Styela clava: one gene and its partners. The protein of the gene in region 3 purifies or fractionates together with the protein of the main gene of each other region. This does not show direct contact. Links are inferred from orthologs where the notes say so. Each region holds a gene or a part of one and is shown on either strand. Other genes may lie near its edges.

What was found.
Region 1: the proteins of exocyst complex component 5-like (region 3) and exocyst complex component 8-like purify together in Homo sapiens (affinity purification with mass spectrometry; 5 studies listed by BioGRID and IntAct, counting the BioPlex papers as one, with this or other methods). This does not show direct contact. The link is inferred for Styela clava from reciprocal best matches to the Homo sapiens genes EXOC5 and EXOC8.
Region 2: the proteins of exocyst complex component 5-like (region 3) and exocyst complex component 3-like purify together in Homo sapiens (affinity purification with mass spectrometry; 7 studies listed by BioGRID and IntAct, counting the BioPlex papers as one, with this or other methods). This does not show direct contact. The link is inferred for Styela clava from reciprocal best matches to the Homo sapiens genes EXOC5 and EXOC3.

The regions. Positions count from the first base shown.
Region 1 is NC_135260.1:14,961,120-14,964,877, forward strand, and holds the start of exocyst complex component 8-like, read right to left. Parts: upstream 2,202-3,758; 5' UTR 2,154-2,201; coding exon 54-2,153; 3' UTR 1-53. Other genes in the region: ciliary microtubule inner protein 1-like, read left to right, coding at 3,666-3,739. UniProt on the Homo sapiens protein: Component of the exocyst complex involved in the docking of exocytic vesicles with fusion sites on the plasma membrane.
Region 2 is NC_135263.1:15,177,466-15,181,223, forward strand, and holds the start of exocyst complex component 3-like, read right to left. Parts: upstream 2,709-3,758; 5' UTR 2,546-2,708; coding exon 2,408-2,545; intron 2,072-2,407; coding exon 1,902-2,071; intron 687-1,901; coding exon 557-686; intron 126-556; coding exon 1-125. UniProt on the Homo sapiens protein: Component of the exocyst complex involved in the docking of exocytic vesicles with fusion sites on the plasma membrane.
Region 3 is NC_135260.1:8,675,221-8,678,978, forward strand, and holds the start of exocyst complex component 5-like, read right to left. Parts: upstream 2,275-3,758; coding exon 139-2,274; 3' UTR 1-138. Other genes in the region: aspartate aminotransferase, cytoplasmic-like, read right to left, coding at 2,857-3,758. UniProt on the Homo sapiens protein: Component of the exocyst complex involved in the docking of exocytic vesicles with fusion sites on the plasma membrane.

The DNA of each region.
Region 1 (3,758 bases), about 6.3 Mb from region 3:
AACCTAGCTTTCATAGTATTTGGAACAATTTTCAAGCAAAAAAAAGTTCTCCACTAACTAGAAGTTTGTTTAATAAAATCTCTTCTCAGATCAGTGAGTTGTTTAGGAATTTGTAAAACACATTTTTGAATTTTGTTTTCTATCAGTGGCAACAATGACTCGGCAACAAACATGGCATTACGTTTGATGAGCCGTGCTTTCTCAGGTCTTTCCTGTTCACAGCGGAGACAACCAGCAACAAAATCAGTGTAGCATCGTTCGATTTCTTCAACAGAATCAAGAAGAAGTTTTTGAATTTCCGGTAGGTACATTTTTATCACACTGTCCACATGAATAACAATGGCTCTTGTAAAAGCTAATGTTGAAAGTGTGAGATAGCAGAAGCAATCATCAAAGCAATATTGACCAATGTTTAAAATTCCATATCCAGTCATTTCTTCTTGTATTTTCAAAAGAGCCTGTGGTGTCTTAGCATTAGTTGGTTTCCACAATTCTTCAGAGCTACGTAGCTTAATAGCATCAATCAATTTTTGCTTATGATCTATGATTGTTGATTCAATGTCTTGTACAAGTAGTGAAGTAACAGCAAAATCCAAATCTAATCCAATGATATGAACAGCCTTGCTTTGAGAAAACACAGTTTTTGTGCAGTCTCCTATTTCAGCAATATCAGCTTTTCTAGTGAAAACTTGTTGCGAAATTTTTCCAACAAATACTTTAATCTCCGTTTGTGACCAAACGACAAAAGTAGAGTAACAACCCGGATGATCTTTAAAAGCAGTTTCAAATTCTTTGAGTGTTTCTTTTAGATTGTTAAAAAAAACTTTACACATTTTAGCAATGTATAATTGAAGATATCCCTCCGTTCTTAATTGTTTAAGAGCATATGAAACTGCACTAGAGCGATTGTGTAGGAATAACTGACAGGCTTTGGTACTTTCCCCAAGCTTAATGAGAAGCAAAACAGGATTCCGTGCTGCTCTGGGACCACCACGATGACTTCGATCAGGAGCAGTTTGTAGTTCTTTGGTCAACACACTCACAAGTTGAGACGTTCTTGCTGATAACTTAGCATCGACTTCTTTCTTTGTTGCACTTTCACCAATGCCATCTAAAAAGGCTTTTGTCTTTAACACTAATTCTACAGCTTCTTTGAAATATCGCTGGGCAATGTAAACATCTAAATCTTCAGGCATTTCTTGAATCCAAACCTCATTTAATTTATCATTATCCAGTGATGCATTTCCTTCCATCTTTTTTGACCCTGATGATTTACCAGGCGATTCAGAAAAAGGATTAAACGGATCTAAATTTGGTGACATAGGAGTTGTAGGTGACACAGGGGAATTATGTTCTCTGTCTGCCAAAAACTTTTTCTTTGTTTCTTCTAAAATGTCAAGCCATTCTCTTTTTTCCTTTGAACTTTCACATTGAAACATATTGGAATCAGGAAAAATCAAAATCTTGAAAGCACATTTGACTGGTCCAGCATCTCGAGCATTGATAACGGCCAGATTTTCCAAATCAAAAAGACATTCAAATTTATATTTACCAGGGACTGGTTGTCCTCTTCTTAAACCAGCCCAGGTTGTCACCATCAACGCATCATTAAAAAGAAATAGATGAACTTTACGAATGGGAGAAAAATTATCCATATCAAGCTCTGAAAGATCACCATCATGAATAAGAAATCTAGTAGAAACATCAGTGATATCTGGACACCCTTGAACTTTCTCTACTAAAGATCTCATAACTTTACGTTGCTCATCTTTTTTGATATTTTCTTTGCTTTTTTTTTCATTTGCACCATACTGTGGCTGTTCTTTTATAAGAAAAATATTTGCCATCGAATCCATAAGATTCTTTTGCTCTGTTAATATATGATTGAGCTGAAACATTTCACCCTCAACGTAAGAAATTTCTTTTGCAGTTTCAATGAATTGCTCATAGTATTTATAGACTTGTTTCTTCAAAATATGAGCAGTTTCTTCACCCAATGTCTGTACTCTCTGTTTGTGCTCCTGTAGATCTTTATCTCCATCTGATTGGGCACTGATGCTCTTTGCATATTGCTTTGGATCAAAGTTTCTGTGTCCAATCGTCTTTGCTAAAGCAGTAGACTTTTTAGGCACAGGTTGAGAAGCACTTTCCATTCTAATATGACAATTATTTATAACAGTGCTAAAACATTGTCAAATAAAGATTACTTGTTTGAAATTTGAACTTTAGAAGGAGCAAAAGAGAAATGTAAGTTAAACTAATAAATTCATGTGTTTGAGTTCTAAACTTCTAGATTGTGCTTAGGAATTGTTTTTCATAACCAGGATTGCGTATAGCACCTCCCCCTTAAAAAATCAAGCCGATATTACAAAAAATGTTGACATTTTGCTGCTGATACTATATTATAAAGTATTTCGCTCTTGTCTGCTTGTAAACTATAGAGCATGGTTATTAAGCACAAATCAATGTCCTATAAAGAAACATTTAAAATAAATTTATGTTCTCAATTTTATATCAAAACGGATACGTAATCATCCAAAATTATGTCACTACGACATCACAGTGACGAAATAAGGCATGCCAAAATATAAGAACTGTCGTCTAAAAGGAAATCATGCCCTCAAAATCGAGAAATGATACAAAGATGAGGAAACACAGAAACAAGAGCGAGTACCGGTATGAGTATGACGATGTATACATACTTTGTAGGGGTCTCGTGTAGTTTCGTACCTAACGTACTTCTAGTGGGCGTAGCATAACAATTTTTTGATATGTCAATCCTAACCCCCATCTGACTACGCCATCGAAAAATTGAATCGACGATGAAGAACTGACTGATGTTATCGATCTCGCTCCTATTGGAATCGTTGCGACGAGAAAACGAGAGAAGTAACTGTTCGATTTCGTGTGCTCGTTTGCGCGTCTTGGATGGCAGTTCGTATAGTTTGAAGGGCTCTATTACGTCACTGTGACGTCGTAATGACGTACTTTTTGGATGGTGTAGTCAGGTGGGGGTTAGGATTGAAACGAGGAAAAATTGTCATGCTACGCCCACTAGAAGTATGTTAGGTACGAAACTACATGAGACCCACTTTCTGACTTTGTAGCTTGCTCAACTTGCAGACTTGGGTGATCGTTTGCCTGTTTTGAGCCTTTGTCCTGTATATTTTGTATTTTCGTGGACCCTGAACCCTCTCTCCTACTGTCCTGTTAGAACAATTACCAGTACTGAATTATGACTCAATAATTGAGTACGGTAGGGAATTTATAATACGGTACCGGTAATGCTATTTGTGAATACTGAAATGAGCTACTCATTTAACAATCGTTAAGATAGAATAAATTTTCCATATCTATTCCAGATGACTTCAAAACGTCAAATACTGAAATATAATTTATGAATAAGATTTACCGTACCAATATACTGATATACCGATTCAATGCACTCGAAAATCTTTTGAAATACGCAAAGGAAATCACTACCGTATCTGACTATGCAAAACGTAAAAATTTAGTCTGGGAAGTTAAACGTTTTGGGGTGAAAGGTCGGCCGATTTTATTCCGTCATGAGCTCACTAGGTGGCGATTATAGTCACCATAGTAACTGTATCAGCTGATCGCTTGCAAGTCTTGTCACAATTTCTTCTGAGTGACTTTTTCCAAAAATGGCTGCTGCTGCTGCGGGGAAGGTAGGGAGGCAAGTTGCCGGCTGCAACTACGTAGCCAACGATGAGATTTGGTGAGTGAGAGTCGGATAT
Region 2 (3,758 bases), on a different chromosome or scaffold from region 3:
GTCTCAGCTTCCGCAAAAAATCTCTGAAGTTGTTTCATATCTGCCGTACTCCTGTTTTCCAGCTTGTGTTGTTCATATAACAAATCATCACGAGATGTTTCCAGATCAGTGAGAGATTTATGGGCCTGGAAAAATAAATCAAATTTATACAAATGGAACAGCAGCATGAAACGAAACAAGTAAAAAAATACAAAATATTTTGACTTCCGATTAAGCAAATATAAAATTCAATTTTTCTTCCGCTATGAGGCTAGGCTATATAGGGATTTATCGAAGAACACTGACAACAACAGTAAAACAAAGGCAGCTTTTCACAGAGTTAACTTTTTTGACCAGCTGTCATTATCAATTAGGGGCAATCTTTTGAGCTTATTTCAAGGCCGTACCTGTATTTAGTTGTGATTTCCACCTTATGTTCGTTTTTAGGTTTGGCTGTTAGGAACAAATTATGAGTAGTATAGGCTACTTTAAAAGAAATATAGCTAATAGTACACTGGGAATGGTCGATTCGTATTAATTTCTAACAACTATGCTTTCAATGCATAAACAAACATACTTCCAATAAATCTCCATTTTTGATCATCACTCTGGCTTTTTCAACTTCTTCAGGAACAGCAAAGATATGTTTTAAATTTTCCATTGCAGCAGCAAGTTGACGATGTTGTGCACTGACATCTTTAATATCTCTGAAGTTAGAAAAATCAATTACAGCCAGGAACTGAATGAAAATTGCAATTATCGTATATCCTCGCATATAGATGAGTTCAAAACTCAAATAAAAAAGTTACCAAACAAAGGGGTCAGCTTATACACACATAACTCCGATCGCACTAAAAATTCGGCTTATACACACATAGTTCTGACTGCACTCAAACGAAATGACATTATGTTAACTTAATTCTCACGATGAGAGCGTACGATTTGTAGGGTGGGCTTATATGCGAATTTTTATAAAATCACCGTTTTAGGGTCATTTTTAGGGTGTCGGGTTATCGCCACTGAGTGAGAAGCTATTATTTTGCGAAGGAACCAGAATCCCAATTCATTATATTGACCAGTTTGTGGACGTGAGTTTAATAAAACCAGAAATGTGTAACCGGTGATACAAACACAATTATAAGTCTAACCTTTGAACCCCAAGGCCATCGCAACAAATAAAATAATTATAGGAAGTTCGCATATAAAAATTAAGTGAAGAGCACACCATACAAAATAGAATTTTCAGTATCAAGATAGGTAGCGTGGTAATAACAAAGTACTTATAGAACTGATATATACAGATAAATTAGAATGAAAAAAGTCAGCGAAAGTATGTAGGGTTCAAGGTGGTCATGGTAGTCGCCCTTCCTGGCATTCTAATGTAAAGTTGAAAGTCTACCAGTGACCTAGCTCCTCAGCTACATTTACAAATAACAGTGATAATAGCTACTCAAAAAATACATGAATATATTTGTGAAAATGTGGGAAAATAGAATGAAAATGAACAGTAAAATACAACTAATTGGTATTGCAAACACACAGCATCTGCTCAATTCATAGTGGATAGGATTTACATAATTATCCTAGGGGAGAAGAAATCCGATATAACGGATTAATCATATGGAGAACCACGACCTCTCGTCCGGTTAGCAGTCCATGTCCGGTATGGGATTAGTTTGCCAGTTATTTGTTTTCAGATGCATGGACTTGATTGTGGAGAAAGCCGTAACCGACCAGTAGTTACATGAACCACCCTACGACGGCGAGAAGTCCAGCAATCCTCTCGCACATTATTAACCTCGCATGGGATTCGAACCCATGCAGGGTAATCAGAGATGTGGTTGCGAGCGTATTCCTAGCGTTTAGCGTGATGCGCCACACCGCCGAGGTAAACTCATATAAACAATTGAAATCAAACAAACCTCATTTTATCGCTTAATGTTCCACAAGACAAATACATTTCATCAACTTCAGTCATTTTCTTTTTCACATTTTTAACTTCCTCTAATGCTTCTGTTAATTGTGAAAGTCCTGCTTTCACTCCATCTAATTGGGATTGGACAGCTGCTTTTAATCTTGCCTCAAACGATGCCTAAAAATTGAGATTACTACAATTTCAGTTTTTATTCAATTTCAACAATTTTATTTTGGTCACTCTGAAAGAAACAAAACAACAACAAACGAACAAACAAAATGCAGAGGACCTGGAGAACGGACACAGACATAACTTAATAAAAAAGTTAAAAACGTACAAGTATGTGCTCGTCCACAGTCCAAAAACAGTCAAAAGAACACAATAACATAAAGACACTATGTAAAATCGGGCAATACCTTTTAAATCAATTTTAAAATGTGAGACACTGATCAAAAGAAGACCAAAATGCATATATATATATAAATTAGTAAGAGGAAAGTTTTATTTTTCAACCTTTTTTCTTGCAGTTCTTCGTCTGTATTGATCAACTTTATCCAACTGGTCAGGTCGAAGAAGCATGCTGGCAACTTGCTGGATTGCCTTAGCTTGTGCTTCAGATTCAGCCGCCTCGGCAGTGTCACTAATCTCCATTTTTTACAGTGTCCTGGTGCAGTGGTGTCAGAGTGTGTGTTGCCTAACTGCCTAAGAAGCAGTTTGTGGCTCACAATCAATAAATATATGTCAATACTACAGATACTTTCATAGAAAAAAGATATTAGCGTATATTTATCATCTAAAAATATGAACAGGTTTTCTTGAAAACCAAAGCAACAAGCTTTGGTAATTCTGATCATGTTTGTCTATGTCCACTTCCTGATTTCATGCTTTCACAAAGGGTTTAAGCAACTTTTTTAATGGTTGGATTGTTCAATAAGTAAATAAAATAATTATTAATAAAGACACACTGAGTATTGTGTACAAAAAGTGAACAAACATATACATTCAGACATTAGTAACATCAGGATAATTCCGTAATCGATTTAGTACTGTAGTAATACAAATTACGTAAGAATACAATTATTTAGCATGAAAAAATAATTATCCATAATCAGTCACAAGTTATTACATATCACTTTATCATGGCAAGTTCTTTTATAGCCTACAACTAAATTCCTTTCTCACTTTTTCTATATTTCTTCTTGTTACAACTGATTTCCTAATTTTCATAATAACATTTATACTTGGGTTATGATTTTTAAACGTTACAGAATTTCGTTCCAACCAAATTTTGCTGTTATCTGACTTAATTTTGTAATTCGATTTGTTGTTGTGATGTTTTCCCATGATTGTGTAATTTAGAGATAACTAAATAATATAAATAGAGATAACTTTTTTATCAGATTGCTTCAATTTGCTGCTATACCAGTAATACAGCATTGAGTGTCGCTGACTGTATGACTCACTGAGTCTGTGAGTCTTTCGTGATACAGGGTACCATGTTAACTGCTGTGAATTAATGTTACCCCCTTTTTTAGTTTACTATGTTTTTCTTTTGCTTTATATTGATCAGTGCATGACGAAAAATAAATAGGCCTATCTGAATCTGAATCACTACAGTCTCAAAAATTTTGCAATGCCAGAATGGTGAAGTACGAACCTTTCCCCGAGCATCGACTTCCTTATTAATTTTGAGACATTGGTTAATCAGCAAGATGCAAATGTGACGTAACAATGCTCCTTTTTCGCTTCCACTCAGACACTTTTCTCACTCAGACAAATTTTCAAGCGTGGCCGTGAACATTACCTCGTTTTCGCGTTTTTGAACTTTAATCGTTAGTTTTCTGTTGTGTTTCGGAAACTTGAA
Region 3 (3,758 bases):
TAATCATTGATAATAGAAACTCGGAGTTTTATTATTTAGCTCAGTACTGGATAATATAAGATTTGTAATATTAAATTTGAACAATAGAATGATACAGTCTATATTATTTATACATGAGAACAAAAGAAAGAGATTCATTTAGTTAGCAAAGAGCTTGTCTAGTTTTGCAGAGCGGTAATCTGAACGAAGCTGAATAAATGAATGTAAAACAGTGCGATCGAGATTTGACAATTGTTCACCAGTGCAAACTTGTCTTAAATTTTCTGGGGCAACTACTAATAGATTACATAGGGAATGTAAACTTTCGAACAAATTCGTGACGAAGGGTACACAAAGCTTTTCTGCACATTTCCTGTATTCATTAATATCACAAATTGCCATCATTCCCCCCATAAAACTGAATCTGAAAAGCTGGAAATGTTCAAAAAGTAGGCGATGAAATCTTTTTCCATATTCTGCAAGAACTGCTTCAACATTGTTTCCATCAAGAGATTTTCTGATATAATCCATGATTCTGTTGAAATACGCACATACTGTGTTACATGCCTGCGTACATTGACGCTCAGGTGGTTTATCAGTCGAATAATCATTCTTTTTCTGTTCAGTTTTAAATATGGTCTTCATCCATCCTATGGCAGCTTGAAGACAGCGATCAATACCAGAATCAAGTTTAACTTCCATTTGCTCACGGATTTGTTTCTTTCTCTGAATGCATTCACCGTATCTTGAAGAAGAACTGATTAAAGGCAGAAGAGTGTCGCTGAACTGTTTTTCAAAAAGATGAAAAATGATGTTTGTTTGTTGAGAGACATCAAAAAAATACAAATTAGGTTCAGCTTTGCATTCAGCTGTAGGTATGCCCTGTAAACACAATTCAATAGCATATCCGATGTGTTGATCACATAAATATTCTACCAATAGATTGAAGATCTGAACAGAATTATTGCTCAAAACAGATGAGCTTGACAAAACTCTGCATCTTGCAAAAGCCATTTTTGTTTCTTGAAGCAGATTGATGGCCAATTCCTGTGAAAGATAAGTTTCTCCACTGGTATTTTCAGGAACATTGCTACTCATTCCAAATGTAATATGTCCTCTGCTTTTGTCCGCAATGACGGCTTTTAATGAAGATACAGCCGCGACAGGTTTTTTTACATGATCTTTTGAATCATAGAAACGTTGGGATATCATCATTGCTTTATCCTTTAGGAATTTTATTTCAACATCGATGTAAGAGTCGAGATAACTTTTGAAAATGCCGTTCGTCAATTTTGTGATGAAATTAGAATCTGAACCCAATTTAAATTGAGAAAGCTTTTGAGATAATTCTACAGTTTTTGAATATAGTGTATAGAGATTTTGTAAATACTTTTCAGGGTCTGTGGTTCTACTTTCACTGAGCTTTTTTTCAACTTGATCCTTGAGTTTGCTTTGGTATATTTTTGACAACAGTTTGCCCATAACTTGTTCTGGTGATGAAAACACTTCAGCAATGATCTTGCTGACTTTTGTACACAAGTCTAATATTTCGTTAAATATGTCGTTTTTGTTGTAGAATGCATTCTTTATATTTTCATCTATAAATGCATCAATACAGTGTTGATAACCTGTAAACAAAGAAAGCGTAGATGCAAGTTCTTGCATTTTTTTCACTTCTCCATTCCTGTGAGCTTCCTTGAACTCATCAATTAATTCTTCTTCAATTTGATGGTACTTGGAAACAATTCTGCCTTTCACTTCAGAGAACCTATCGTATGGTAATTCTTGCGCAATAAGATGTAGCTTATGTACAATTTCAGCAGCCTCTCGCACTCTATACTGGTTTGTCAGGACTTCAGATGTGAGTTTCCCGGTCAAAAACTCGTCAAAATATTGCATGAGTTGGTGAGCTTCTGCAGCATGTGCTCTAGGTGTATTTACACCTTCTAACTGATCCCCGAGATGAACTACTTTGGTAGCAACGTAATTAATTCGATCATCCAATGCCTGGAACTGACCAAAAGCCTCTTGATTTTTCTTTTGCAACTCCATGAGTCTATCTTTATGTAAACGCGATTCTTTTTCAAGAGCAACGTCCAACTTCTCAGCTTTTTGCTGAATTCTAGCATCAAGTATTTTCAGTTCATTAATGTGAGCCACGAATTCATCATACAAGAGTCGAGGGTTAAATCCTTGAGCTCCGCCTTTTGTACCCCCACCGGGTGTTCTCCATGCCAGTCTTTCAACATATTCAGTTGGGTCAAAAGGATCTTCAAACAGTTCAGCGGACGCCATCCATGCACAGTAAATATACAACTTGGTTTCTATCCTAATGAATATCTAGTTATATATCTAAACATAACACAAGATCCATTATGCAATAGAATATAAAAACACAAAAATATGTGTCTTCAAAGCTTATTATACACCACTTTAATGAATTTATGCATGAAAATTGAATTACGAAGAAAATAGTATTTGAGAGAATATATAGAAATTAGCAGAGAATAAACCTTGCCCAAATGGGTCATGAAACAAAGAAAATCAAAACTAATTTCATAACCAGGAACTCATTTATTTATACACTTGCACCGAATTAAGTAATGCATTATAAAAATAACATAATTTCCGTCACATACAATATTATTATCAAAAACATGTGGAAACATCAGACTGTAAAAACAATGAAGTATCAAGTGTTATTTCAGTCACTATTGAACTTTATTAGATGTGAAACTTTCACGATTTAAAATAATTTTTACATAATCACAGTAATTATAGTAAATATAAAATAATCTAACTCGAAAAACATTATTGTCATACTACTGAAAAAAAAAAATTCGTGGCAATTACTATTCATGCATAATCATGTTCTATTTACAGTTTATTTTCATTGATCTTTGTGACAGCTTCATGCAGGGACTGAGCGAAGTAGTCAATGTTACCTTCAGTCAGACCACACATGCTGATACGCCCAGATTTCATCAGATAGATGTGCTTCTGTTTTACCATGAATTCACATTGAGCTTGGTTGAGACCTGTATAGCTAAACATTCCAATTTGATTAACAATATGATCCCAATTTCCTGGAGTGCCAAGTATTTTTAGCTTTTCATGCAGAGATTTCCTCATTTGCTTAATTCGAGCTGACATGGTGCGAATGTTATCATGCCATTCGCCCAATGAAGATGGATTACATAGTGCTGTTGCAACCACCCTTGCACCATGGTTTGGTGGGTTTGAATACATTCCTCTGATAATCAACTCCAATTGAGATCTGCTACGTGTCAGCGAATCTGGATCCTTCATCACCATTGCGAGATTTCCGACTCTTTCATTGTAAAGACCAAAATTTTTCGAAAATGACTGACAAACAAAGAACTCGAATCCACATTTTTCAAAGTGACGAATACTCCATGCGTCAACATCTGGATCACCAGTGGCAAATCCTTGATAAGCAGAATCGAATACAGGAAAGTGATTTTTTTGTTTACAAACATCTGCTATCTCCTTCCATTGCTCTTGAGTAGGGTCTACACCAGTGGGATTGTGAGCACAGGCATGAAGGATGACGATAGAAACCTCGGGAAGCTGTAGCAAGTCCTCTTTCAAACCAGCTAAATCGAGGCACCTGTTCTTTGCATCCCAGTATCTGTATTTACGGCGATCCGTAAACCCAGCGTATCTAAAAATAGCATCATGATTTGCCCATGTCGGGTCAGGATAACTTACAACGGTGCTTTCCACATGAGTATTGTAGAAACGTTTCAAAAACTCAG